7 linked regions of the Nothobranchius furzeri genome follow. The protein of the gene in region 1 interacts with the protein of each later gene in a pairwise test. Links are inferred from orthologs where the notes say so. Each region holds a gene or a part of one and is shown on either strand. Other genes may lie near its edges.

What was found.
Region 2: the proteins of banp (region 1) and nrip2 interact in binary tests that used the Homo sapiens proteins (3 or more experiments, as listed by UniProt). The two-hybrid records come from large-scale screens. The link is inferred for Nothobranchius furzeri from reciprocal best matches to the Homo sapiens genes BANP and NRIP2.
Region 3: the proteins of banp (region 1) and sp2 interact in binary tests that used the Homo sapiens proteins (3 or more experiments, as listed by UniProt). The two-hybrid records come from large-scale screens. The link is inferred for Nothobranchius furzeri from reciprocal best matches to the Homo sapiens genes BANP and SP2.
Region 4: the proteins of banp (region 1) and map2k1 interact in binary tests that used the Homo sapiens proteins (3 or more experiments, as listed by UniProt). The two-hybrid records come from large-scale screens. The link is inferred for Nothobranchius furzeri from reciprocal best matches to the Homo sapiens genes BANP and MAP2K1.
Region 5: the proteins of banp (region 1) and leng1 interact in binary tests that used the Homo sapiens proteins (3 or more experiments, as listed by UniProt). The two-hybrid records come from large-scale screens. The link is inferred for Nothobranchius furzeri from reciprocal best matches to the Homo sapiens genes BANP and LENG1.
Region 6: the proteins of banp (region 1) and cep76 interact in binary tests that used the Homo sapiens proteins (3 or more experiments, as listed by UniProt). The two-hybrid records come from large-scale screens. The link is inferred for Nothobranchius furzeri from reciprocal best matches to the Homo sapiens genes BANP and CEP76.
Region 7: the proteins of banp (region 1) and mrrf interact in binary tests that used the Homo sapiens proteins (3 or more experiments, as listed by UniProt). The two-hybrid records come from large-scale screens. The link is inferred for Nothobranchius furzeri from reciprocal best matches to the Homo sapiens genes BANP and MRRF.

The regions. Positions count from the first base shown.
Region 1 is NC_091744.1:74,163,874-74,167,946, reverse strand, and holds the start of banp (protein BANP), read left to right. Parts: upstream 1-1,273; 5' UTR 1,274-1,387; intron 1,388-3,319; exon of another isoform or gene 3,320-3,402; intron 3,403-3,563; 5' UTR 3,564-3,572; coding exon 3,573-3,642; intron 3,643-4,002; coding exon 4,003-4,073. UniProt on the Homo sapiens protein: Controls V(D)J recombination during T-cell development by repressing T-cell receptor (TCR) beta enhancer function. Binds to scaffold/matrix attachment region beta (S/MARbeta), an ATC-rich DNA sequence located upstream of the TCR beta enhancer.
Region 2 is NC_091741.1:39,325,507-39,329,006, forward strand, and holds part of nrip2 (nuclear receptor-interacting protein 2), read left to right. Parts: intron 1-411; coding exon 412-494; intron 495-1,296; coding exon 1,297-1,403; intron 1,404-3,500. UniProt on the Homo sapiens protein: Down-regulates transcriptional activation by nuclear receptors such as NR1F2.
Region 3 is NC_091747.1:67,530,149-67,533,648, forward strand, and holds part of sp2 (transcription factor Sp2), read left to right. Parts: coding exon 1-527; intron 528-3,500. UniProt on the Homo sapiens protein: Binds to GC box promoters elements and selectively activates mRNA synthesis from genes that contain functional recognition sites.
Region 4 is NC_091744.1:66,078,917-66,081,807, forward strand, and holds part of map2k1 (dual specificity mitogen-activated protein kinase kinase 1), read right to left. Parts: intron 1,773-2,891; coding exon 1,626-1,772; intron 1-1,625. UniProt on the Homo sapiens protein: Dual specificity protein kinase which acts as an essential component of the MAP kinase signal transduction pathway.
Region 5 is NC_091745.1:76,666,511-76,670,694, reverse strand, and holds the start of leng1 (leukocyte receptor cluster member 1), read left to right. Parts: upstream 1-1,384; 5' UTR 1,385-1,535; intron 1,536-1,726; 5' UTR 1,727-1,771; coding exon 1,772-1,903; intron 1,904-2,847; coding exon 2,848-3,030; intron 3,031-3,943; coding exon 3,944-4,184. Other genes in the region: voltage-gated chloride channel TMC4, read left to right, coding at 70-200, 323-478, 561-639, 733-825.
Region 6 is NC_091745.1:49,058,745-49,062,244, forward strand, and holds part of cep76 (centrosomal protein of 76 kDa), read left to right. Parts: intron 1-132; coding exon 133-261; intron 262-450; coding exon 451-639; intron 640-2,326; coding exon 2,327-2,493; intron 2,494-3,103; coding exon 3,104-3,263; intron 3,264-3,500. UniProt on the Homo sapiens protein: Centrosomal protein involved in regulation of centriole duplication. Required to limit centriole duplication to once per cell cycle by preventing centriole reduplication.
Region 7 is NC_091746.1:50,179,166-50,183,264, reverse strand, and holds the start of mrrf (ribosome-recycling factor, mitochondrial), read left to right. Parts: upstream 1-1,299; 5' UTR 1,300-1,409; intron 1,410-4,099. UniProt on the Homo sapiens protein: Responsible for the disassembly of ribosomes from messenger RNA at the termination of mitochondrial protein biosynthesis. Acts in collaboration with GFM2. Promotes mitochondrial ribosome recycling by dissolution of intersubunit contacts.

The sequences.
Region 1 (4,073 bases):
CCTCCTGTAATATTCCACTGGGTGCTGGTCCAAACATTTTAAAGGATTCTATTTTCACTTGTACCAGCCAGTAAAGATCTATAGACCTCGTGAATGTTGTTGTTTACATCTGGGCAAAATGCTGGAAGGCAAAATGAGCTTCTGCAGCTGCTATCCAGTCCTGTATCTCCACGATTTAAGTAAAAAAATTTAAACCTAGGGATGTAGGTATTACAATTTTTGATCGTCTAAGACGTCTTTGTGCAGATGATCGAAAAGTTAGATCTTGAAGCTGAGGGTGTTACAGGGATACTATGCAACTTTGAATATTTTAAAATCATTTTCCTGAGCCAGTATGTGCTAAAAGGACTGTTTACAAGCTTAATGTGTCCAGAATGTCACACTTGCAACTTCAGAGTTGCCGGGTTTTACGTGTACAGGTGAAACTTGAAAAATTAGATCATGATATAAAAGTTAATTTATTCCAGTAATTCAATTTAAAAGGTGAAACTAATATATGAAATGGACTCATTAACAGCAAAGTCACATATTTAAAGTCTTTATTATTGTGATGATTATGCCTTACAGCTTATTAAAACTAAATTCAAAATCTCAGACAAATTAGAATGTTTTGAAAAGGTTCAATAAGAATCAAAGTGTCACACTCTCAGCTAATGAATCCAAAACACCTACAAAGGATTCCTGACCCTTTAGATGGTCTCTTAGTGTGAGCTGAATAACCAACATAAATGGACTTTTACACCATATTCTAATTTTTCGAGATTCACCTGTACGTCTTCATTAAGATAAATTTATGGTTTGTGTGAACATTAATTTGACTTTTGAAAAAAACACTTGTCTTCCCTGGGGTGGCCAGCAATTTTTGTAGGGACTTGGCAGTGTGATGTCACATGTCAAGCGGTCTGTCAGTTTGATGAAAAAATATATTTGTTAAATTAAATAAATACTATTGAAAGTAGTTAAGTTGAAGAGTTTGAAACTGAAAAAGCAATTCGAGCCAGCCAGGAGTCGAACCTGGAATCTTCTGATCCAACATATCTATTGCGCCACTTGCCCGAAATATGAAATGCAGCCCAATTTTCTGATTAAAAACAGGATAAATACTAAAGTTTCTTATGTTTACATGTGCAGGGATACATTCTAATTATAGTATTTGATTTTCATTGCATAAAAAACCTTTCAAAACACATAACGGATCCTTTAAAAATATAACTAGACTTCGTTTTCAGCCTCTCAGTTGGTTTTGAGCGCCCTCTACAGGCAGCCATGATATACCCTGGCCAGATCCAGGAACAGAGGAGCGGAGCGGACGCAGCCTTTTCTCTCGCGAGGAACGACGCCGTTATCGGAATCCCCACAAACAACACGAGAATTCGTCATTCACACGGTAATATAACCCAATCTTACACGGTGCATGTTGTTGCGTGAGAGCAAAGGAAGAAGAGGCTTAATCAAAATGATCTTTATTTGCTGTATTCAACTCAACAAATCTTCGTCTGCTATCAAGCAGCCACAAGGCCTAACTAGCATGCTAACTACTAAGCTAGCTTAAATAGCGTCTCATTTCGCGCATCTAGCTTTATCGCTGGCAAGCAAGCTCACAAATCGGATGTTGTGTAGCTGCAGCTAACATTAGCCACCAGCTATCTAACAATTTTCAGCTTGCAAATCCAAATGCAAAGTTGAACAAAATGCAGGTGCAACAAAATTAGTTATGACACACAAAATTGTTGCAAAATAAGTGGTATTTCTGCTGCATGTAGAGCCTCCCGACCTCTAAATGGAAGCTAATGATTGCAGGTTGCAGTATAAACGTTGCAAGCAACTCTCGAAATAAGATTAGTCAGTTAAAAAATATATTAATGGGCAAGGATGTTAAACTGAGGAGATTGGCAATAACTAGCTCAACCATCAGCAAGACGTTTGCAGCTTGCAGGCCCAGCACTGCATCACAAAATCCCACTCAGTTTATTGTTTACATGATGTTCGAGTATGCCTGTTTTATGGATTAATTCTCTACAGAAACCATGAGATGTGTTCCTCTAAAATAAAAAATATGGAAGAGTAAAAGGAAGTACAAATTTATGCAGTTTATATAAAGGATTTATTGATACTTTGATACACGTTTCCACAGTTTTGCTCATGCAGCAGTTGCATGGAGGTCCTAGCTAAATATAGGAAATAAACACATAATTTTTTTTACAAATTATTCAAAATAGTAGACAGATTAAGAAATTGTAATATTTTTACCACTATTAATGAATTTGCTCAATTTTAGAAAGTGATATCTCAGAATAGAATATTATTATTATTGGTGCCCTATTGTGGAGATGTTCATAATCATTTAGAAAACTGGCCTTTAATAGAAATGACATGAAAAATTAACTTTAAAGGACAGATAGAATATACAAATCTCCAGAAAATTAAAAGATTAGCATTCCTTGAAGGATTCCATCATTCATGAGAGAATTTCATTTAAAGTCCTCTTTTTTAGAGGGGGCTGTTGGGAGTTGTATCTGTTTTGGTCCAGTATTGAAAATAACATTATGGGCAAGCTCAAGCAATATCACAAGATCTCCCACTATTTGTCACACCCTCCCTCACACACTCATATTTCTGCACCACCGCTGTCTTTTATGGCTAAAGGCTTTTTTTTTTTCATTTTGTCCTCAGATGGTTCTGCTGTTAATGTCACTAAAACTTATTTTTTCTGCTCTCAAACCAATCAACGGTACTGATAGCGTGAACAGCTTTGCCTTCAGGCGTGATACAAGTTTTTTGGTCACCCAGACTTTTATATGCAGTTATGTTAAAGTGGTACTTCAATGAAAAAACATTTAAAAATGATTATATCTGATTATAATCGGTCACTTTGAGTTTTTGATGCAGGCTGAACATGAAAATAGTCTTGTACACCTGTTTCCTGCAATAGCTTTTGATAGACAGTGAAATGCTAGGATTAAAAAATCCTGACAGATCTACATCATACTGTGACTTCACATTCTTGGACTCACCCATTTTGACTCACGATGGGGAAGGCTGTTGTCATTTTCCCATCCAGGAAAAAGCAGAGAATGTCTCGGCTTGTAGAAGCTAACTGTTAGTATTAGCAACTCCACCACATTGCAGAACTCCTCTATTCTTGTGTTATTTGCAGAGATAAAACATCAAGAATGTAAAGCAAATGGTAGAGTCTCTACCAGTGGTAGAGTCTCTTTGCTGTTAGCCAAACAGATGTCCAAATGTCAGGAAATAAGAGACCAAATCGTTCTGTGTTCAGCTCAACTTTGATCTGGCTAACTTCTAGTTTCTGAATTAGGCACACCGGAGCTTTGTTTCCCCAGAGTGCACCTTACAAGGCATTCGTTCCTACTTGAGACCACTGCAGATTATGTATTGTATGTGAGTAAAGTACCACTTTAAGAGCTTTAGTGTATTCCAATTTTTCAACGAAAAGTGAGCAAATGGTAATTCTACGGCAGCAGGCGTATCAAAACTTTGCATAGGTTATCAACTATACAGGAATGTGTTATATAATAAATATTCTCTTCTTTTCATGCCAGCTGTGAACAATGTCTGGGCAAGAGTTGGATGAAATTGTTCAAATAACAGTGGAAGATTTTGATCACAACAACCACTCTGGTAGGATTTCTTGTTATGTTACATTTTTACAGTGAATTAATCAATATTGACGTTTTTTACTTACCTTTTTTTTCATCAGATAGTTATATTCTTGAACGCAGCATTAGAAAACAACATTTTATCAGCCAAAATCAAATAAAAGTTGATTCTAAATTAGGTTTTGGGTCTGTTTTACTCTCTGCCGATTGTTTGCTGCACAGATTTATGCACCAGCCTTTTATATGGAATTGGGATTCAGCTCCAACTCGGATCTCCTGCTGATTACAGCATGAATAATACATGCCTGGACAGCAACTGAAATCAGCAAGAAGTGTGTTGGTGTGTCGGTTTGAGGGTGTCTCTATGTCTCGTTCATGCCAGACATGCTGGGCAATCACGAAGATGCTGAAGAAAGAACCCAGAAGAAGAAGAGAAAATTAAGCAACATCAAC
Region 2 (3,500 bases), on another chromosome or scaffold:
GCAACACAAGTCTTAATACTTCAGCTGAAAGCCAGAAAACAACTTAAGGCATCAAATCCTACACAAAATCATATAACTAGTTTAAATTTTAACCTTAGCCACGTGGTGCATCAAATGACTGCAGCAACACGGGATCGATACAGATCAAGGCTCAGAATTTAACTAGTTTGTACAGAGTCCACTAATAGGAAGTTTGTGCTAAGTTAATTAGCAACCAGATACTTTATTTCTCCATTTGGCAGATTTAAAAGTCCACAGCAGTCGGATAAATCTTCAGATCAGTGGGCTTTTTAAACACTCCTCAGAGCTGTGTTCATGAGCTGTTGTGATAAATTGTTTCCTTTTGAGCTGCAGCACCAGGGCAAAAAGAAAAAACATGACACCAGAATCCCCTTTTTGTCTTCCTCATAGTGCTGTGAGACCGAAGTCAAGGCATCCATCAACACTGGCAGCATACATAACCACATCTCCGTGTCCTGCTGCCAGAGGCTCGGGTAAGAAATGCCGTCTCTTCACAGCAAACACCCCACGGTTGCTGTATATTGATAAATAATATTTGGGATGTAGAGACAAACCAACTACACATAAAGAATGAGCTCAGATCAAATAGTTTATACCTAAAAAAGATAAATAAATCCAAGAAAAGAAGTTCAAAGATGTTTTCTAACAGCATGTTGGCTGCCAAGAGCAGTTTGTGAAGTATGTCTTAATCTTGCAAAGAAAGAAAAAATAAAAGCTTTTGTTTTACATGTATGGATCTCAACTGGATTAAGAATCTTTGAAATATAAATTATGAATTCTAAAATCAACACAGCTTTATGGCGATCACTAAAATCAGCTAAAACCAACCTTTTCATCCTGGCTGCTGTATTTTTGGTAGTGGTGGTTTACAAAAATGTTGTTGCTGTTTATCAGGACTAAAATCAGTTAATAGGGTTCTCTGATCAGAATCACCGAGTCCCTAAATGTTCATGTACAGATCCGAGCATTGTAGATGAAGGCCGTCTCTGCAGGCCTTTTCACGCATTCAGATTTTCTGGCAGCATCCTTGCTAGACGCATAACAAGCCCGCACAGCTGTCAGCTCAGACAAAAGTTGGAACGATCATCTCTTCCCAGGATTGGCCTCACTACAGTCAAGGGTGTTCCCTGCTTTGCAACAGGTTCACATCAGCATGACATGCTTGTAGCTTTTACTCTATTTTTCCAACAAAATCTGTTTCTGGAAGGCAGCTACCCAAATATTGAAACCACAGAAAGTTGTGCAAGTGTGACTGTGTGATTTGTGTGTTGTTAGACTGGTGCCCAGTGAGGACAGTTCTCCATGTGGAGTTAACAGCTCAGTGACGGGTTTGCAGCTGCAGCTGGGCAGACAGACGGCCCGATGTTCAGCATATGTGAAAGGTAAGAATATCAGTTAGAAAACTAACTGCATCTGGAAGACTCAAATTCTTAAAGACTAAAGTAACTATGTTAACTTCTCTGGATGGAAGGCTGCACTTTGGTGTAGTGGTGCCTTGAGCTAAAGTGCTATCCTTAGCTAACAGGTTCCAACAAATTTACATGACCGTTACAGAATATATTTAGCATGTTAGCATCACAGCCATCCTATATGTAGATGACTCATGGGCTGACACTGCCTATTGGAGCTGGCGTAGCGGCTAGCCGCTGTCTTGGAGCATTTATTTCTACAGACGAATGTGCTTACCCAACTAAAAAAACACATATTTTAATGCTTTTTCACAAAATCAGACATATGATATGGCATGACAGTTAAAGTATATTTAAATAAAATAAATATAAATCCCAACAGGTATGTTAGAAAAGTTAACAGTAATCCCACATGATCTGTTCTCAACAGTACACCGGTTTTTGCAACAGTAGGCTGCACATAATGGGCACAGTTGCTTACCCTGCATTGACTCCAATTGGGTTTGGACAGTGAGGAGACCCAACCAATATGGCGGTGACGCTGTTACGCTTTCCAGTACCTAATGGGCTTTCTACGTATTCGTGTCTATAGTTAGCATACCAACGTTTTCTACTCAATACTAAACACATCTATATTTATTACTTAGATCTGAGTAAATGTACATCATCATGAAGGTTGTCCTAAATGATTATTACTCATTATGCACTCACGTATTAATCAACAGAACACCACTGGTGTGTGAGGTTATCCACTCAATAATATCAGACAAGAAGAAACAGCCAGCTTTAGGACAAACTACCAGAGTCCCAAAACAAAAACCACCATTTAAAGTCACGGAGAACTAAAGACGTTTAGACCTAGAAAACGGCGACTGGTGTTTAGCGCCATCTTGTTTCCTCTGGCATTGTGGGGTTCTGGTTCTGGCAGAAGTATCCCAGGGAAGATCCTAGAGGGGAGGGGGTGAGTGCTGCGTGACCTTGTTTGCGTTCAAAGCCAAGTTTGTCTGCAGATTCGCTTTAGCTGCTTTAACTGTATGCCTGGTGTAATATTACATGCCCAAAGGGGTTTCCAACTTGGTTCTCATGTGTTCTTGTCAAAGGTAGAATAAAAAAGAAACATCTGCATCAGTTGTGTTACAGAAAATCCAAAATGAGCCATACTGTGACAATGGAAAAATCTAGATTATGATAAACTGTGGACCCACCACCCGCAGGAGGAACATGAAGGGTCCGGTGCAGTGTGGATCGGGTGGCAGCCCGAGGCGGGAGCCTTGGCGGTCCAATCCCCGGACAAGGAAACTGGTTTTTGGGACATGGAACGTCACCTCGCTGGCGGGGAAGGAGCAGGAGCTTGTGGCAGAGGTTGAGCGGTACCGGCTAGATATAGTCGGACTCACCTCGACACATGGCTATAGCTAAGTTTACATGTGCCAAATTTCCTCAATCCAATTGAAATCTTGGTTGATCGGAATTTCCGAATCTCTGTTCACATGGACACGAAATGAAATGATCCGATCATGCCGTGCGTACATACGCACCAAGCATTTAATCCGAATAAATAGGTTGAGCATGCGCAGAGTTGCCTTTCCCGAAAGAGAAATTGTAAACAAACGCCATGAAACGAAATGAAAAGTGTAAAAACAGAAATAACTATTCTTCCTGCTTTCCTGATCCATTTATTCAATTTAATGTTTTTATTTAGCTCATAGAAGTTACGTTTTCTTCAGTGAATAACTGCAGATATATGCTTTGCTGCATTTTATTGTTGATTAAAATAAGGGAGGGTTATGTTTCTGCCTCTTGATCAGCTGGTCCGCGGGTCTGAAGTGACAGCTGCGGCACAGAGCGGGGTGGGGGGTGGGGGTGGTGGGGTGGGGGGGTTAGACTCATGTTTTATTACTGAGCTCTGTTGTGGCTTATTATTAATAACATGTGACAATCAGCTGAAACTGTTGGGAAAAATCTGTTCAAACAAAATAACAGAAGATGTTCAGAAAGTTTGAAGCCTGTGTTCATCATTAACGAACCGCATCTCAGGTCATCTGCGTTTACGTGCGTTTAACACGGACT
Region 3 (3,500 bases), on another chromosome or scaffold:
GATCCACATCCCCTGGCAGCCCCATAGTCCTTACCATCCAGCAGGGTCCTGCCCGCAGCAACACCTCTGGCTCTGCCAACATTCAGTACCAGGTGGTTCCACAGATCCAGGTGATGCCACAAGGAGGCCAGATCCAGCTCATACCAGGCACCAACCAGGCCATCATCACCTCTCCGGTGACCGTTCCAGCCCCCTCTGCAGCCACTGCGCCGGTCACTCCGCAGAAAACTGTTGCCATCAAACCTTCCCCTAAGGTACAGAAGCCAAATAACACAGCTGCAAATGTGGTTCAGTTCCCTAGTGGACTCGCACTTCCCCTCAATGTGGCGACCGGAGAGGTGGGCGGGACTCCAGTGGTCACAGAGACTGCCACTGCCCCCTCCACACCTGGAAAGGCTCGACGAGGGAGGAAGAAGAAGGTGGTCCTGCCTTCTGAGCCTCTGCCACCTGCTCCTGCTCAGGCTGCCTCCCCATCCCCAGAGCAGATGGAGACCATTGTAATTGAAGCTGGTGACAACATCATACAGGTGCAGTTACTTATTTTCACTTATACATCATGCAATATGGCAATATTTTTTAAAATATCTCTATCATTTTAAACAAATTTATATCATGTAACTCGGCTAGCCGCTATGCTAGCGACTAGGTTGCTCCGTCTCAAAGCGGTCATTACATGTATTCTCACAAGTTTGCTCAGTCAGAAAACCTCTGGGTCAATGTTTTGCCCTAAACTTAGCATTTGGCATCCTGGGTTTTAAGTATTTGGGGATGTCTGTTCGCGTTTCAGCGAGCCTTTCCACCGTGGCGGTCAACGGAGCTCTGTTTATCCTGCAAGTGCGGAGAGGTGAGCAAACCTCTCCCCCGTGTAATCAGGACGCATCTACGCTGAGCCAGAGTGGCCAAATGACCTCAAACCTGTTGTAACGATTAGAACAGTTAACACTAGGGCAGGGGTGCCCAATCCTGGTCCTGGAGGGCCGGTATCCTGCATGTTTTAGTTTGAATTCTGTTTCAACACACCTGATTTCAATCAGCAGCTAATTAACAGGCTTCTGCAGAGCCTGATGAGCTGCTGCACAGGTGTTTCAGCCACTGAATCAAGTCTGTTGGACCAGAAAAACCACAAAACCTGCTGGATACCGGCCCTCCAGGACCAGGGTTGGGCACCCCTGCACTAGGGTTAACGTTTTATTTTGAAGGTGAGTTCAGCGGGTGGGAGTGGTTGTTCCGGTTCCTGTTTTTGCCACTTTGTTAGGCTCGTAAATGCTCTGTTATGAGCGAGTCTGTGGGAAAAGTTAAGAGTTTGTAAGGCGTGGGTTATGGTGACAGTAGTCTGAAAATAATACCCATAAAACAGCCACAAGAGAGTCTGAGTCATTACAAAATGATCGCTGATATGAGTCAATACCGTCAGGTTTCAGCCATGTTTGCCCTAATAACTAGTCACACCACAGTTGCATCACGAATTTAGCTTCACATGATAGATTTTTATTCTCTGGAGAAGAAATAATTACTGGTAATACTGTGGATGATAGGATTTGGGCCACCCCTAGATGGAATTTAAATTATTTTACATTAATTATAAATATACAGGATTTCCATCAGAAAACGTGCTTGACCCTGTGTCGCTACCAGATCGGCTCGGGGTCCTGCACCTGCTGATGATGTCACAATCTGGCAAACCCACTCGGCTTTCACACTTAGTTTTGGAAAGACATCAGCAGTTTTGTTAATTAATTCTTGTTTGTTACCACCTAAATGTTTTCTTTATCACTGTAGTAACACCATATTATCTTTGTTTTGTAAAGAATGTGAAACTGCATAAAACCAACATCGGACTGCCCAAAGACCACAGTTCTTACAGGTCCTTCTCAAAAAATTAGCATATTGTGACAAAGTTCATTATTGACTGTAATGTACTGATAAACATGAGACTTTCATATATATTAGATTCATTACACACAACTGAAGTAGTTCAAGCCTTTTATTGTTTCTAATATTGATGATTTTGGCGTACAGCTCATGAAAACCCAACATTCCTATCTAAATAAATTAGCATATCATGAAAAGGTTCTCTAAACGAGCTATTAACCTAATCATCTGCAGTGTTTCCCCTAGGAATTTTTCCAGCTGTTGTGGTGGTGGTGGTGAAATTATGACACGTCTCATCTTTATGTTAATATTGTTTTATTTGATGCACTCCACTCTGAACTGCACCAATCCAGCAACTGCTGCATTTTAATAACTGGTATTAAAGGTGAATACGTACACAGATGAATGCACCTCTTATTTATTATTAGGAAATTAGTGGGCGTGGTTTACATCAATACATTATTTTAAGTCTGAAATTGATATGGATCGATCAGAAGTTGCTATGTGTGTTTATTAGAAAACTATTTACAGAGCAGCCTCAGAACTGAGATTAAATAGTTTTGATCACAATAGTAAAGAAACTATTACAGAACAAGTTGTTCAGTAAGATCAGAACATTAATATTTAAGTGCATGAATTAATGCATCTGAACTCATGCAGTAGGAACTAGGAAATATGAAATACTAGAACCATTTTATTTTCATTTGATTAAACTGATTTTTCCTAACGTTGTTGGCATTTTTCCCCACACACAGTTAAACAAAACAATGTTGATTAAGGTGTGTGTGTGAGAGATAGAGAGAGGGAGAGAGAGAGTTAAAATAATAAAAAAAAAACGACCAGAGCGGAGGCAGTGACCGACGCCTGCACGAGCCGTTTTCAGCTCTGTCTTGTCAAATGCACCACGTACGTTACGAAAAAAGTAACTTTATATATTCAACCGAAAAAGAGGCGAGCTGAAGAAAACCTAGGGAGTTCTGAAGAAACGTGAGCAACAGTGAAGCAAGCACAGAGAGATCCGTTATTGTGTGTGTGTGTGTGTGTGTGTGCGTGTGTGTGTGTGTGTGTGTGTGTGTGTGCGTGCGTGCGTGCGTGTGTGCGTGGATGGGCCAGACGGACTGAGCTCCCGGCTACAGTTTTGTGTGTAGGGAGGGGCGGGCGCTCTATGTGACTGGCCAATCACAGAGCGTGAAGACAGTCAGTTACCCGATGAGGATTTTCCTTCAGCACGATTACAGATATTTACCAGTTTTACTCGTTTCATGCTCGTATTCGTAAAAAATGCTTTATCCGTACCGGATACTCGTCTGAAACGAGTATCCGGCTCATCCCTAGCTGTAACCACCCTGCCCTGCCTCCTCCTCCAGGCTGCCTGCTGGCTGTGATCACAAGAAACAACAGAGTAGTTCCCGCTGCTTCTTCGGGAAACGGCGCAAAAAAAATCAATAAAACTTGGGATCTTGTAGGCGTGGCGCTGGGATTTCAGCCGTGGCGGCCCGCCACGGCTACGCCTATGTAAGGGAAACACTGATCTGAATCAACTAATTAACTCTAAACACCTGCAAAAGATTCCTGAGACTTTTAAACTCTCCCAGCCTTAATTACTCAAAACCGCAACCATGGGTAAG
Region 4 (2,891 bases), about 8.1 Mb from region 1:
GAGTCTTTGGTAGTTATGCACAGCCAGGAGGCAGCATGTCAAGAAAACGAAAAGTGGATATAAGAGACTTCTTTCAAAGTCTAGACGTAAGTTGGAACATGTGACACCCCTGCATTAAGCTCAGACTCACCTCCTCCTTCACAAACATACTCAAAACTAACTTTTACAAACTCATCTCCTCCACATAACTGACTCCTCAGACACAATTTATTCGTATTATTATTATTATTATTATTATTATTATCATAATTATTATTATCATAATTATTATTACTAGTAGTAGTAGTAGTAGAAGTGTAACTTCAAAACTTTTATCATTTAACTTTATTGTAAACTTATCTATTGCAATGTATATTTTCACATTAAAAAGCTCTGAAAAATGAACAGTATTATCATCGTCAACAGATTTTTTTAAGCTTAATGTCAAAGATGTACACTTTTCATTAGATTTATCTTATTTTTTCCATTTATTTTTTGTGTGTTGAAATGCAACAACTGTTTAAACACGTTTAAGGGAAAAAACATATTTAATATGTTTTTATACACTCAAATTGGTAATGAATAATTTACACATTATATTAATAATAATTGTGAATCATACTAGAACCATCCTGTAAATATTTCTGTTTGTTCCATTCCAAAATCTCCCACTGTTTATAGTTCATGCATCTTTTTTTCAGGTGACTGACAGAGATGCAGGAGGAGAGACCGGTGAAGGTACAGCAGGAGAGGCTGGAGGAGATGGAGGACGAGAGCCTGGAGGAGATGGAGCAGAGGCTGGAGGCTCACAGGTGAGGTTGAAATAATGAAGATACGATAGACATAAAATTGATCATTGTGACAAATGTTAGGGTGATGATCATGTGTAAAACATTAGTTCAGCATGTCCTCTAACACAGCAAATGAACAAACGGCCAGATCTCAGGAGGGACCGTTTATGTATAAATACTTTTTATACTTTTGACTAGGCCTGGGAAAGTAACAAATTTTGCTGGATGATATTTTGTCCAAAAAAATTGTTGATGATAAACGATATCATTGTCAACATTATCTAGACCAAAATAACCACTAATATAATGTTAATATATCATAATAATGCAAGTACACCCTTTAAAATGCAACAAATAAACCTTCATTTAACATTGAAATGTCCAGAACCAGAACTTCTAAATGAATAAAAATAACAAACAAAAATTAAATAAAAAAAAGAATCTCACTCCCTGTTAGAAAATGTTGCACCAAAAACAATAAAAAAAGACCCAAAACAATAAATACAATGGCCTATCCATTGTCAACAGCCAAAACTGCACTTCAATAATGATAATAAATATTAATGATAATAGAGTTGTACATTTTTTAACTTTGATATATATATATATATATATATATATATATATATATATATATATATATTGAGGATGGAAAAATTATTGAGATGGGCATGTGACGTGTCAAAGGGTCTTTACATAACACCCCCACCCCAAATCCGCACAAGCCGGGTGTGTCCCCCCCACTTCTGAAATCAAAATTTCGTCCCTGCCAATGTGGCTGGACATGAATGTAAAAAACAACAATATTGACTTAAATACTCAGAAGTGCCTAGTGAAACATAAAGAGGTATATACCATGTTCTCCATGCAGATGCTGATTTCTCCATCGCTGTAAAAAGCACCATAGAAGCCCACTATGTATGGAGAGTTACACTCATGTAGAACCTGCAGCTCCCGAATGATCTGGTTCCTGATGGCTGGTTTAATCTCCAGATGGATCAGCTGGAACACATCAGACCTCCATGCGTTATTCATACACACTAAAATCCTTTGAGCATTGTGTTGCATTGGTTCAAATGTTTAAGCCAAGTGTGGGTAAGTGTATCACAACTAGCACATTTAGTTTGCATATTTACTCTTAAAAAAGGAGCACTTTGATTCCAATCTTACAAACGTAACATGTTTGGGTTTTCATCTGACCAACTCTGGTAACCTATCCTTTCATGTAGCGATGCATTTGTACTATGGATGTTCGGTATTGGCTTTTTTATTGATAACCGATATAGCCTGACTCTTAATTTCTGATACGATTTAAACCAATACCAATATATGCTGCAGCCTCCCTCATAAAAAATAAAGAGAAACTAAATCATTTTAGGTAACTAACGTCCCATCGCCAATCAGCCAGACTTAAAATGCAAACATCTGTGCAAAATTCGACAACTACTTCAATCTGAATTAGACAATTAGCTCCCTTGAGAGAGTTTGGGTTAGAGAAGAGTTTGAGGTACGATAAGTGCATGATAAATGTGTCATTAATGAGTAAAAATCAATATCAATAAAGTTACATTTTAAAGCTTCTTTCCAGAGTATTTCTCTCGGGGCGATGGTGGCACAGGAGTTAAGTGCTCGCCCCGTAATCGGAAGGTTGCAGGTTCAAGCCCCGCTCAGTCTGTCGCTGTCGTTGTGTCCTTGGGCAAGACAGTTAACCCAGCTTGCCTGCTGGTGGTGGTCGGAGGGACCGGTGGCACCAGTGTTCGGCAGCCTCGCCTCTGTCAGTGTGCCCCAGGGCAGCTGTGGTTACATCATAGCTCATCACCACCAGTGTGTGAAGGTGTGTGTGAATGGGTGAATGACTGATTGTGTTATAAAGTGCCTTGGGGGGTTCCAAGACTCTAGAAGGCGCTATATCAAATACAGGCCATTTACCATTTATCCGATGGCGCCATCTAATGGCTAAAAAGCGTATCACACAAAACCGCTGTTCCTCTGTTTTTTAAGATGGCGACTTCACGTTTCTGTTTATAAATGTGCATCAAGGCCGACAGAGATAAAACACGTTGTTTTATGAGTATTTTTCTCATGACATGTTGTTTTTTCATATATTTATATTTTAGAGAC
Region 5 (4,184 bases), on another chromosome or scaffold:
GTTTTTTTCCCTCTCACATACATTATAATTATTTGTATTAGTGATGATATTGTGTTTGCGTGTCCACAGATCACACTCTTCCACAACTGTCGGCCAGCGCTGAAGACGTTTCGGTCCACCACCTCCACCTTCTTTTTCCTGGTGGTGCTTCTGTTTGGCTGGACGTTGGCCCTGGTTGTTATGATTTACAGCCTTGCTGTGTGAGTGCTGACTGCTGCAGATTTATCCTTAATATTTCCAACAAAACAGCGTTTTAGAAAGTCAGAACAGTCAGGGCATCACTAAACACTTTAAGAAGGATTCTTTCCACCTCTCCAAACAGGATCAACCCTTCGATGGCGTGTGGGCCTTTCCGCTTCTTCCCCTCCATGTGGAAGATTGTTCCAAACTCTTTCTACTGTCTCTCTAAAGTTACACAGGATTTTCTCTTCTTCATTGGCTCACAGGCATTTTCCATACCTCTTTTTGCTTTATCATGGTGAGTGTGCATTTGTGAAATATTTATTATTTATTAGATTTAATCTACAGATTATCACAGTGCCTTTTTTCCTCTCTGCCAGCGTGATTATGTGCTATTTTGTAGCATTAGCTTCCATCTATGGAAAAAGTGTTGAGATGCTCAAAGCTCAGCTTAAGTTGGTATGTTGTTCCTACTTACAAAGATCAAGGATCATTTGTATAATATCCTCAGTGGTAGCTAATATTGTCCAATGTCATGTCTTTGATTTTCAGGAGGGTCAAGATAAGCAGTTTTTGGTCAAACAGATTGAAAGACTAAAGCTGCAACATCTGATGCCAGCACTAAGAGCAGAAGTACAAGACTGAACACAACCGATGACCACGTTTAGTTTTTCTGACCTAAATAATGAAGTAACTAATATGTCTTCTGGGGGGGAGAAATCTCATTAATCCAGACTAGATCTCATTTGACAATTACTATATTCATTTACAGCGTTTCTGTTGTGAAGCTGAAACAATAAGAGAATTTGTTATTTAAAGTCAGTATAATTTTGATTGTTGTTCTAAACATTAGTGTTGAATTAATAAACATGCACAGAATTTATTTATGATTTTGAGAGGCTATTTTTCTTTTGTATAAAACAACCTCGGGTGCAGAATCACCAAAAATGCTAACAAGAAAGAGCATGCATTTCACAAAATGCTACATTCCAAAGCCAACATATACTTTACCTTTTTGTCCTTTCATAATGAGTACATTGTTTTTGACATCTTTTGGTTATAGCAAAAAATATATATATTTGGGACATACCGGTAAATATTTTTGTGGCACCTGTACAAATACCAGTAGAGTTTCAGCGCCCCCTGGTGTTACATATTGTAATTACATAACACGATTATTGTTTACTTCCTGTTTAACTCTACTACTTCCTGTGAGCGCAACAAACCAGAAGCTACTCCTCCGTTAGCTCGTCATTGATAGCATTTATTATATTTTAGGAAAGTAGTCAACTTAAATAGATAATGTGAGTGAGTAAGGTCCACGTTATTTTCTTCTGCGTCATCACAAAACATTGGCAAGTACTAGCGACCTTCCCTATTTAGCTTAATTTCCTAAAAAGAAAGAAAACAGCGACGCATATTTGATTGTTGGGCGTATTTGAAAAATTCTGCTTCTGTATTTAGACATTTTGTCGAATAACCTGCTTATTTCTACTATACACCAATATATTAACTGACCAGAGTGAGTGTTTTCTCTTGTCGTTAGCTTTCTAAGCTAGCTGACTGCTAATTGTCGGTCACCAAGGCAACCATGAACATCCTCCCGAAGAAGAGTTGGCACGTCCGCAACAAGGACAACATTGCGCGCGTGCGGAGGGATGAAGCCCAGGCAGCAGAAGAGGAGCGCGAGGCCAAGCGTCGCGTGGAGCGAGCAGAGCAAGAGGTAGTCCCCCTCTGGTGTTAGCATGGTCATTCATTAGTCTTCACTCTCTCTCTTTCTTAACATTTTTTTTGAATCACAATTGTCTATTTTTGCTCATTTTAAATATATTTTTAAACATTTTCTAAATGCTTTTTTATTTTTTTACATTTTTGTTTTTGTGAAGTGCCTCGTGATTTTTATCTTTAGAGGCACTATAGAAATTATATTTTCTTCTTCTTCTTAATAAGCGATATAAGTATCATTACTACTGTGGAAAATGTATTTGAGTGCAACACAACTGTAACGCATAGAAAAACCACAAATCAGCCGAATGTACAGGGTACCTGGCACTTTAATTGAAATATTTAAGAAATTAGTTCTGGAAAAATGATCAAAAGTAAACAAAAGAGTTTCACAGATTTTAATCCTGACCATTTAAAACTAAATAAATACAGAAATAAATGTCTTTTGGGGAGAAAGACAAAAGAACCAGTCACACGAAGGTCAGGTGGATGTTTGGAGTTTGGAAAAGTGTAGAAATGTTAAGGTTATAGATGTTAAACAATCTGAATGCCACATGTAGATTAAAACCGCAGCAATGATTTCAGTAATAAGAAAAACTGAAAACATTCTGAGCTTCGTCACGTTCTCTCTCCTCGTTGATTCTATCTAAACCGCTGCGTGCACATATGAGGCAAGAGCACTTTATCATGAGTAACTTTATTACAATAAAGAGCCACAACAATAGTACCACTGTCAAATGTCCCAGACGATACACATAATTCAAAGTTGTATAATTTAGCAAATAATCTGCTTTACACAGTGCTATTTAGGATTTAGTTGCTTTCAGCTTGTTGCAAAAGCTCAGTTAGGTCCTATGTCTTCAGCTGCATTTGCTTACAATCCAAAATAACTATTTATTATTTATATCTTTAGTTTATTCTAACAGCTTTTTGTTTCTACAGGCGCGTACAGAGTATCTGAGAAGGAAATCTCGAGCTGCTCTTCAGTCAGAAGGAGGAAGCAGAGATGATGATGATGAAAAGGAAGGTGGAGGAGGCTTGGAGCACCTCAACCTCTTCCCTTTGGAGGAGTCTTCAGAGAAGAAGGGGAACGAGGAGTATCTTAAAGAAAAGAAAGAGGAAAAGGTGACAGAAAAACCTTAATACATGTGTGGATTATTTATTTTTTGGGGTTTTATATTTGCTTCAGTAACACCTTTTCCAGGGTATCCGCGGGTCCTTAAAAAGTCTTAAATTAGCTTTTCCAAATTTAAGGCCTTAAAAATCCTTAAAAATGACAAATAATCCTTAAATACAGTTTCCAGAGGTCTTAAATTACCAAAGACCCAATAAACAAGATTCTTTTATTTCTATAAAATTTTCATGAATTTCTAGTTAGCGTTCAGCATTTTTGTGTACGATGTTGCCGTAAGCGGAACCGTACACGTTCAGTTGGTTGTGAAAGGGGGCTATTTTTAGATGAGCACGTTAGCTGGTTAAGCTAGTGGGAGCTTGCGCCATGGGGAAGGGCAAGTTTAATGGTAACTGGATGGCTAATCCCATGATCGCGGCGTGGTTAGCACCGGTTCCAGGCAATAGCTGGAAATTATAGCTTAAATGATAAATGACCCGCACTTGTATAGCGCCTGTCAGAGGAAGGACTCCAAAGCGCTTTACACCACAGTGTATCATTGATCCATTCACACACACATTCACACACTGGTGGTGATGAGCTACGATGTAGAGGCGAGGCTGCCGAGCACAGGCGCCACCGGTCCCTCCGACCACCACCAGCAGGCAAGGTGGGTTAAGAGTCTTGCCCAAGGACACAACAGCAGAATTCTCTGTCCGGAGCCAGGATCGAACCTGCAACCTTCCGATTACTGGACAACCCGCTCAACCTGTTGAGCTACCGCTGCCTTGCTTAAATAGCTTAAATTTGGTCAAAGTGGCCTTAAAAAAGGTCTTAAAAAGTCTTAAATTTGTCTCCCTTAAACCTGCAGATACCCTGTTTTCAAAAACCCCTTTGTTTAAATATAATCTGCATCTTCTCATCCAGGAGAAGCAGGAACGCGCCATCGGCCTACTGGTGTCTTTAGGACCCCAGCCAGGCTCTGAGGTGACTCCGTGGTACCTGAAGAGCAGCAAAGACAAAGAAAGTCAAGAGAAAGACAAAAAGAAGGGAATAAGTGAAGAGGAGAAAGAGAAGAAGGATCGGAGGCTGAAGAGTAGTTTGGATCCCCTGAACGAAATGAAGAAAGCTCTAGACGTGTTTGAACGAAAAGTACCTAAAAACAGGA
Region 6 (3,500 bases), on another chromosome or scaffold:
TCTCTGTGGTCTAAGACTGAATGGTTACAGCAGAACTCCATCACTGTGCTCATGAAGCGACGATCTGTGGAAACGAACTCAGAGCTGTGAGGGAAACATGTTTGCTGATGATGTCGTACGCCCCCCCTTCAGCAATCCCTGGAGAGACAGAGGACAGCAGAGAAGGAGAGGCTCTTCCTGGTTTATGCCAAGCAGTGGTGGAGAGAGTTCCTGGAGATCCGACCTTCTCACCAGTCCAAACTGGTGAAGATCTTTGCTCAGGTCAGCTATTGTTGCTGAGTTCTGCCTCCCTCTTTAGCACTTCACATGCAAGTGACCACTTCCTCTGAGGTCTACTGGCTCTCTTACAGTGTGTGACGTGGTTTTGGGAGGAGAAATTCTCACACTTCAGCCTTAAATGTAATCTCTGAGCATTCCCTGATTTGTGGGGGGTGTCTGCACGCTTGACAGGATGAGAACGGAGTCAACAGACCAGTGTGTTCGTACGTGCGTGTCCTTCGTGCCGGCCGCCTCCTGGAGAGTCCTCGACAGGCCGCCCGCTTCGTCAGCCTGCTGGCTCACCAGAGGCCTCCAGTGGTGGGAGGGGGGGCCAAGCAGGAGCAGTGGTGCACATTACTGGCGTTCCTGTGCCGGGGGAAGGTACGTGCCTGGCGCTTCCTTTTGTTTCAGGACCGAGAAACACGTTTAGAGAATTCTCTCAACATCCACCTCGTAACAAAAGAGGTTGTCACAAACAGACATCACAGCAGATCCCAGCGACAAGAAACGAGTCCAAGGTGGTCATCGGTGTTTATACCAAGTCCTGTAGGGGGGTTAGGGCTATCAGTGAGCTGGTGGTGTTGGACGGTACTTTTTTCATTTAAAGGTGGACGACATGTAAAAGCCATGCGAACAGGCTTCATTTTGAAAAGTAACAGTTTTAAGGTCCAACCTTCTGTCTACAAGCCCTCGCTCTATAGTCATAGGAAGTGGTGTAACACCTGGTGCAGCGGATACGGTCAGAAACATGACGTTCTCTTAGGTCTTTTGTTGGTTCGTTCTGTCTTTGGTATGTTCTTGCTGTGTTGCTTTTCTAACGGCGTTGTTGGTTCTCTTTTAAAACACAGAAAAGGTTTCTTTTTACCTTGCTGCTGACAGTTTCGTTCGCGGCTGCAAACTTCCTCAGAGCTGACGCTGATGGTGGCGTCACTTCCTACTCCGTTTATCCGCGGTTCGTTCTGCGTTTCACTTCATAATCCATTACAGTTTAGTAAAAAAGAGTTTTTCACCTGACATCAATCAATCAATCAATCAAAGCTTTATTTGTAAAGCGCCTTCCTCAACCCTGTCAGGAAGCCCAAGGCGCTGAACATGGTACAGTAGAAGTACAAATATAGTGAATAAATCAAAAATAATAGCAATTCAGAAATAAAAGCAATTCAAATTACAAAATACAAATGACATGTTTCGACTGATGCCTCGAGCCATCATCAGAGATCGCTGGTGCTTCCGTTTGTCCGCGGGCTGCAGAGGACGGTGTTGAAGTCGTGTTTACCTGACCTGTAGTTTTCCACCTTTTAATAGAACGCTGTGGGTTTGGGGCTGTAGCTGCATCGCTTCCCTGCAGAGTTCTTATAGAAAACTTGTATTACCTCCTACATGCAGGGTGAGTGTGCTGCACTGAAAACTAACTAGCTTCCTCCTCTCAGAAATGTGGCCCGGCTGCCCTCGCATGACCCTAACTTCTGAGCAGGGCAGTGTTGTTCCTGAGGTCATCTTGCCTTGATGGTGGGGAGTTTCCCAGACCACCACAGGATAAATGTTCAGTTCCTCTTCTCTGTGAGAGGCCGGCGAGACAGACGCAGCACAATTCTGGCAAAGTGGTCCTTGTCAGTGGTGATTTATGAGTTTCATTCCAGGGAAAATTAATTTAGCCCATCAGTCGCCCACCTGTTCTGGTGCTGCCGTCCACATTAGCACTTCTGTGGAACATCTATCATCTAGCAGTCCCGGTTCAGCCGAGGCCTCTTCACTAGAAGGCTCGTTCAGCTGAAATGAGAGTAGTTAGGGTTATGTCTTCTTCTGCAGACTCGTCGCATATGAGAAAGCCCGAGAGTGCACCAAAAAGACTCATTCAGTTTTAAAACATCACAGGTGCTGCTGTTCCCCAGTTTGGATAAGAAAGATTTGCTGGCAATACAAGATTTGTGGTCAGTCGATCAAAACATAACCTAAGATCTCCCCAAGGTTACTTAGGATGATGCACAAACAGCTTAGGATCTGACAGAAGTAACTTAGGGTATCGTAAAAGGTGACTTTCCTCGTCCTGTGTGCTTTGTCCTTCCAGGGAGACTGTGAGGACCATGCTGCTCTCCTGTGCAGCCTCCTGCTGGGCTTTGGTCTAGATGCATACATGTGTGTGGGCACCAAAGCCAAAGGTGTTTCACACGCCTGGGTCCTGACCCGTGGAACCGACGGGACCATCACCTTCTGGGAAAGTCTGACGGCACATAGGTGCATTTTTAACGTTTGTCTTTGACATTTCAGAGAAAACCTAATTAGTCCACAGTGGTCCTTTGTTTTAGTGTGTGTGTGTGTGTGTGTGTGTGTGTGTGTGTGTGTGTGTGTGTGTGTGTGTGTGTGTGTGTGTGTGTGTGTGTGTGTGTGTGTGTGTGTGTGTGTGTGTGTGTGTGTGTGTGTGTGTGTGTGTGTGTGTGTGTGTGTGTGTGTGTGTGTGAGAGAGAAGGAGAGAGTGAGGGTGTGTCTGTGTGTGTACGTAAGTGTGTATGTACATGTGTTTGCGTTTTGTGTGTGTGTGTGTGAGAGAGAGAGAAGGAGAGAGTGAGGGTGTGTGTGTGTGTGTGTGTACGTAAGTGTGTATGTACATGTGTTTGCGTTTTGTGTGTGTGTGTGTGAGAGAGAGAGAAGGAGAGAGTGAGGGTGTGTGTGTGTGTGTACGTAAGTGTGTATGTACATGTGTTTGCGTTTTGTTTATCTGTGTGTGTGTGTGTGTGTGTGTGAGAGAAATAAACAGGATTAACTCAGAGTCTTATGATGAAATTTCCCTGAAACCAGCAGCCAGGCTTTGGCCCACAGGACATTTATTTCCTGTTTGCGTGATCAGATATCTGCACCGAGCCGTTGATCCAGACGCACCTCCCCTGGCCCTCCAACCCAAGCCTTCTTCCCCGTACCGGACCGTGGGCTGTGTCTTCAACCACCAGAGCTTCCTGGCAAACTGCCAGCCCTCTGATGCCGTAGAGCTCTGCGTCTTTGACTTCCAGGTCAGAACGCATTTTACCACAAACATCGGTTGTTCTGGCTTTTTGTTACTGTTTTAATTTGCTTTTCTTAACATTTAATGTTCCATTTAGACCCAGGGCCACTTTTGGCCCGCCTCTCATTCGATCTCTCCTGCAAACTAAGATAATAATGAATTTATCTTAAAACAGCCTTTAGCTTTTAGACCAACTAGCAAAACTATTAGCTCTGCAGGTCGGTCTAGCCACGCTCCATTGTAG
Region 7 (4,099 bases), on another chromosome or scaffold:
CTGCCTCATGTTAATGCAGAATAGACTGGCATTATGTATTCACATGTATGTGTGACTACATTGGTGATTCATGTAGGTCTAAATCTGTAACGAGAGTGATCAGTCAACAGTCAAAAAGACTGGAGGAAAGTTTTCAAGACATCCTTTCAAAAATGTATTTTAATTTATTGTTACTATACAACTTTTCCAAAAGATGTGCACTATAACTGTGTGTATATATACAAAGTTATATATATATATATCTGTGTGTGTGTGTGTGTGTGTGTGTGTGTGTGTGTGTGTGTGTGTGTGTGTGTGTGTGTGTGTGTGTGATTGATGTTCTGCTTTCACTAAAAAGAAAACGCTTAGCATAACATAAGAAAATTGATATTCCACATAAACATAATGATATGTATGAATAAATAAATAAATTCTTGCTTGATTAATACATGTTTTATAAATGAATACGTTTGTCGAATTACAAACAAGTCTAATTTCTATTGTTCACTTTAAGTTAGTTTTACACGAATTCAGTTATTTGGGAAATAAAAAGTTATAAAAACAGTAGAATAAGCCACACTAGGCGTCTGGTGCTCTACAGCTACCTGGAGCACTCAGGTGTGACGCAAATAAAAACTGACATTTCGACACCATGCACCTGACGAAGACACACATGGGGTCGAAAGATTAGTCTTTGTCTGCATCTAATAACTACTTACTCGCCTGAGTGCTCCAGCCCCCTTATTTATAAGTTATGAACACATTCAGCAGGTTTTCTTTAGTTTCACTAGGACTGGGATGACCCCGTTAAGAAAAACTCAATCTTTACAACTCAGTAAACTTACAGGCGTCATTCGTAATTTGTTGAATGAACAAAACCGCGTGAGATCGAAACATCTTTTAACGTGGAATAATTACATCAAAACAATTAAAACAACCCGTGTGTCAAAGTAGCATTAGCATTTAGCTTCACTAAATTACCTCGTTTTTTCAAACCTCTTCAACGGCGACTTGTGCGACTCAGTGCTGCAACTAATCCCACTTTCGGGATTATTAAATACGTCAAAACGTATGTGTAATCATTTTAGAGAACGATATTCCTATGAAATAACTGGCTGGATTCGTTAGCTCAAATGAAAAACATCCAATTTGCTACCACCTGTCAACAAAGGCGCAGGATGATGATGATATTTTTGTAACGTTTGAGGAGTCTGTTGAAAGCAGTCGGTTTGTAGTCTGGCATCTACCTTATGAACTTTCAACGACCAACTATCAGTATCAACGCGTAACTCCACCCACTCGGTGCAACCCGTACAAAGAAACAAACCCACTCTCCGAGAGCTCTGTCGCTTGTTGATGAAGCTTACCATCGACTGGAATATTTCCTCCTTTAGCTAGCATGTGTCGCCTGTGAGAACCTTGAGCTTGAAGTAAGTAATCGTTTTTAGTTTAATCCACAGTTTTATTGTGCCTTTGATGATTTCGTGACCTTAAATTATCAGTAATGTTTTTTTTAGACAAGTAAAAATGGTTGTTATTGACTTGCAGTTAGTTGCATTCACGGAAAAAATGCCTCCGACCTTCAGTCAACAACTAAACTGTGCTATCAGATAGTAGCCTAAAATTCATGGTTTGTTTATGCCTCGACCATTTTTCACGCGATCAATTTAATTAGATATAGGACCTGGTTGTCCTGAACGTCTATTTGGGGGAGAAATATTTAAAAGAGCATGACAGTTATTGGTTTAGTTAATAAAACAATTTCCCCCGATAATATTTTAGTGCTTGGAATTTAAAATGTTATTGTTCCTTTGGGTTTTATTTTATTAATTTTTTAGTTAATTAAAACATTTAATAAACTTATTTACCGACAAACAACAATTAGCTTAGTTCAGGCTTTCTGGTTTTTTGTTCAAAAACTGTTACTATAATTATGTTTTGGCCTTGTAACTGATGAAAAGAACATCATAATGTGTTGTAATATTGGAGAGTTGGAATCATCTATTTTTTCATCCTCCTCTGAAACATTATGGTCTTCTGAGTTTCATAATTTCTGTGAGCAGTTTGTTTGAGGACGCAGAGCCATGCACGAACACTTATCAGATACCCTTCAGTGTTCTTTTCTAAAGCAAACAGAAGGAGCATGCGGGCTGACCAGCTGGCTCCTACTGCTGGAAGAAGCAGAGGTGTGTCTGCAGCTGCTGTGAAATCTACAGGATGTGAGGCTACAGTATCCTACCGACCACCTGTGTTTCACTTTGTGTGCTTGACTTCCTCTCTAAAGAGATCTGTCACCTTCCCACATCTCTGCCCATCAGCTCTACCACAGAGTGGCAATTCATATCAGCCTGTCAGGAAACCTCCCAGCCGTGGCTGCTTGTTATGGGTTTTCACTGGCAGAAACAGAAGAGTAGCCTAAATATTTCCGTTTAGTTGTAGCTAAATTTGTGGACAGAGTCCTGAATTACCAGAAAGGATGAGGGGTATAGGTTAGGTACATTTGTAGAGCATATCTGTGACAGTTTTTGCAATATTTTAAATATCATTGCACTGAAATATCAAGATACTTTTTGTTATGATACTGAATCCATATTTTAAAGCAGTGTGTCAATTTTTATTGAGAATTTACATAAAAACATTTACTGTATTTCTTTTGTGTGGTGCTATTCAAACTCTGCCTGTAGGTGGCAGCAATTTTTACCGCCTTCATTCCGACGGAACAATGAGATCTCGCAATAACACCGGGCGTGTGTCTTGGAAGCGTCTAGCCTGAGTTTTGCAGTTAAATTCTGCCCTAAAAATTGCAAATATCTGTTTTTTTTTTTTTGTACCGCAAATTATCTAGTGGTCTGTCCTGCATCTTGATATATGGAGTTTAGCAAGATTCTTGCTAATACACACCCCTAACAATTTATTATTTTCTTTAGAAATATGTTTGTTTTGAGTAAAGATTTGACTTCTGAAATCAAAACTTTCAATATTTTTAAAACAAACAATTATTTTTCCTCAAAATAAATGCAAACCTATCAGTGAAATCTTTAGACTTCTCAAAAATATTTCCAATTTGTGTGTCTCAAAAAAGAATAAGTGCTGAAGCTCACTTGAACACTGTGAATTTTCTTACAGGTGTTGAACACTCGTTCAGGGTTTCCCTCAGCTCTTTTTAAGCGTGCTTAGGCCCCCACCAGGCCAAGCGTCTACCCCCCACCCGCAGTCACAGACGACGCTCGGTGGCGGAATGATCTGAATGCACCTCCCCACCCACCCCTGCATTCACAGTCCGCCAGGCCTAGCAAGTTTTCTGGGGGAAACCCATGAAACGCAGCTCGTTTAATCAATACATTTTCATTTGGGGGTGTGGGCAAGCTCAGATGTGCTTATTTCAGGAACTAGCAGAATGCCACATTAGAGGACGGCTTAACATGACAGGATTTGGAGCCTTACTTATTGATATTCGGACATCTCGCCTCTGATTGGATAACAGCAACACAACTCTACCACACTAACTCGGTTTGCTCTGCGACATAGATGTTTTAGCTCCACAAAAAACTCTAACCTGGAGGAGTTCTGCTATGTGGTGGCGTTGCTAATGCTAAAAGTTAGCTTCTGCTAGCTGAGATGTTCTCTGCTGTTTCCTGGACGCTAAACCCACAACAGCCTTCCCTGTGTTGAGTCAAGATGGTGAGTCCATGAATGTTAAGTGACAGTGTGACGTAGATCTGTCAGGCTTTTCAAATCTTGTAAAAATGTTGTTAAAGAGGTTTCACCATCTATTTTCTATCAAAGCTAATGCAGGACATAGGTGTTGGAGACTTTTTTCATGTTCAGCCTGCACGAAAAACGCAGAGTGACTGATTATGATCAGAAATTATCATTAAAAATGTGTTTTTCAGTGTAGATTTTCTGCTTTTTTTGGCTTCAAGTTGGAACTCCCCAAAATATCCCTGCTATATTTAGTTAATTCTTCTCTATGGGATGATTTTAATGCAGCAGAATGGCACACGTACATATAAAAGTCATAAATACTCCTCAGACTGTAAGGAATGCCAGTGAGGGAACATTTCACCACAAGCTGTCCACAGCCTCTGACTGTGACAGAATTGAGTTTCTTTCTGTGTGG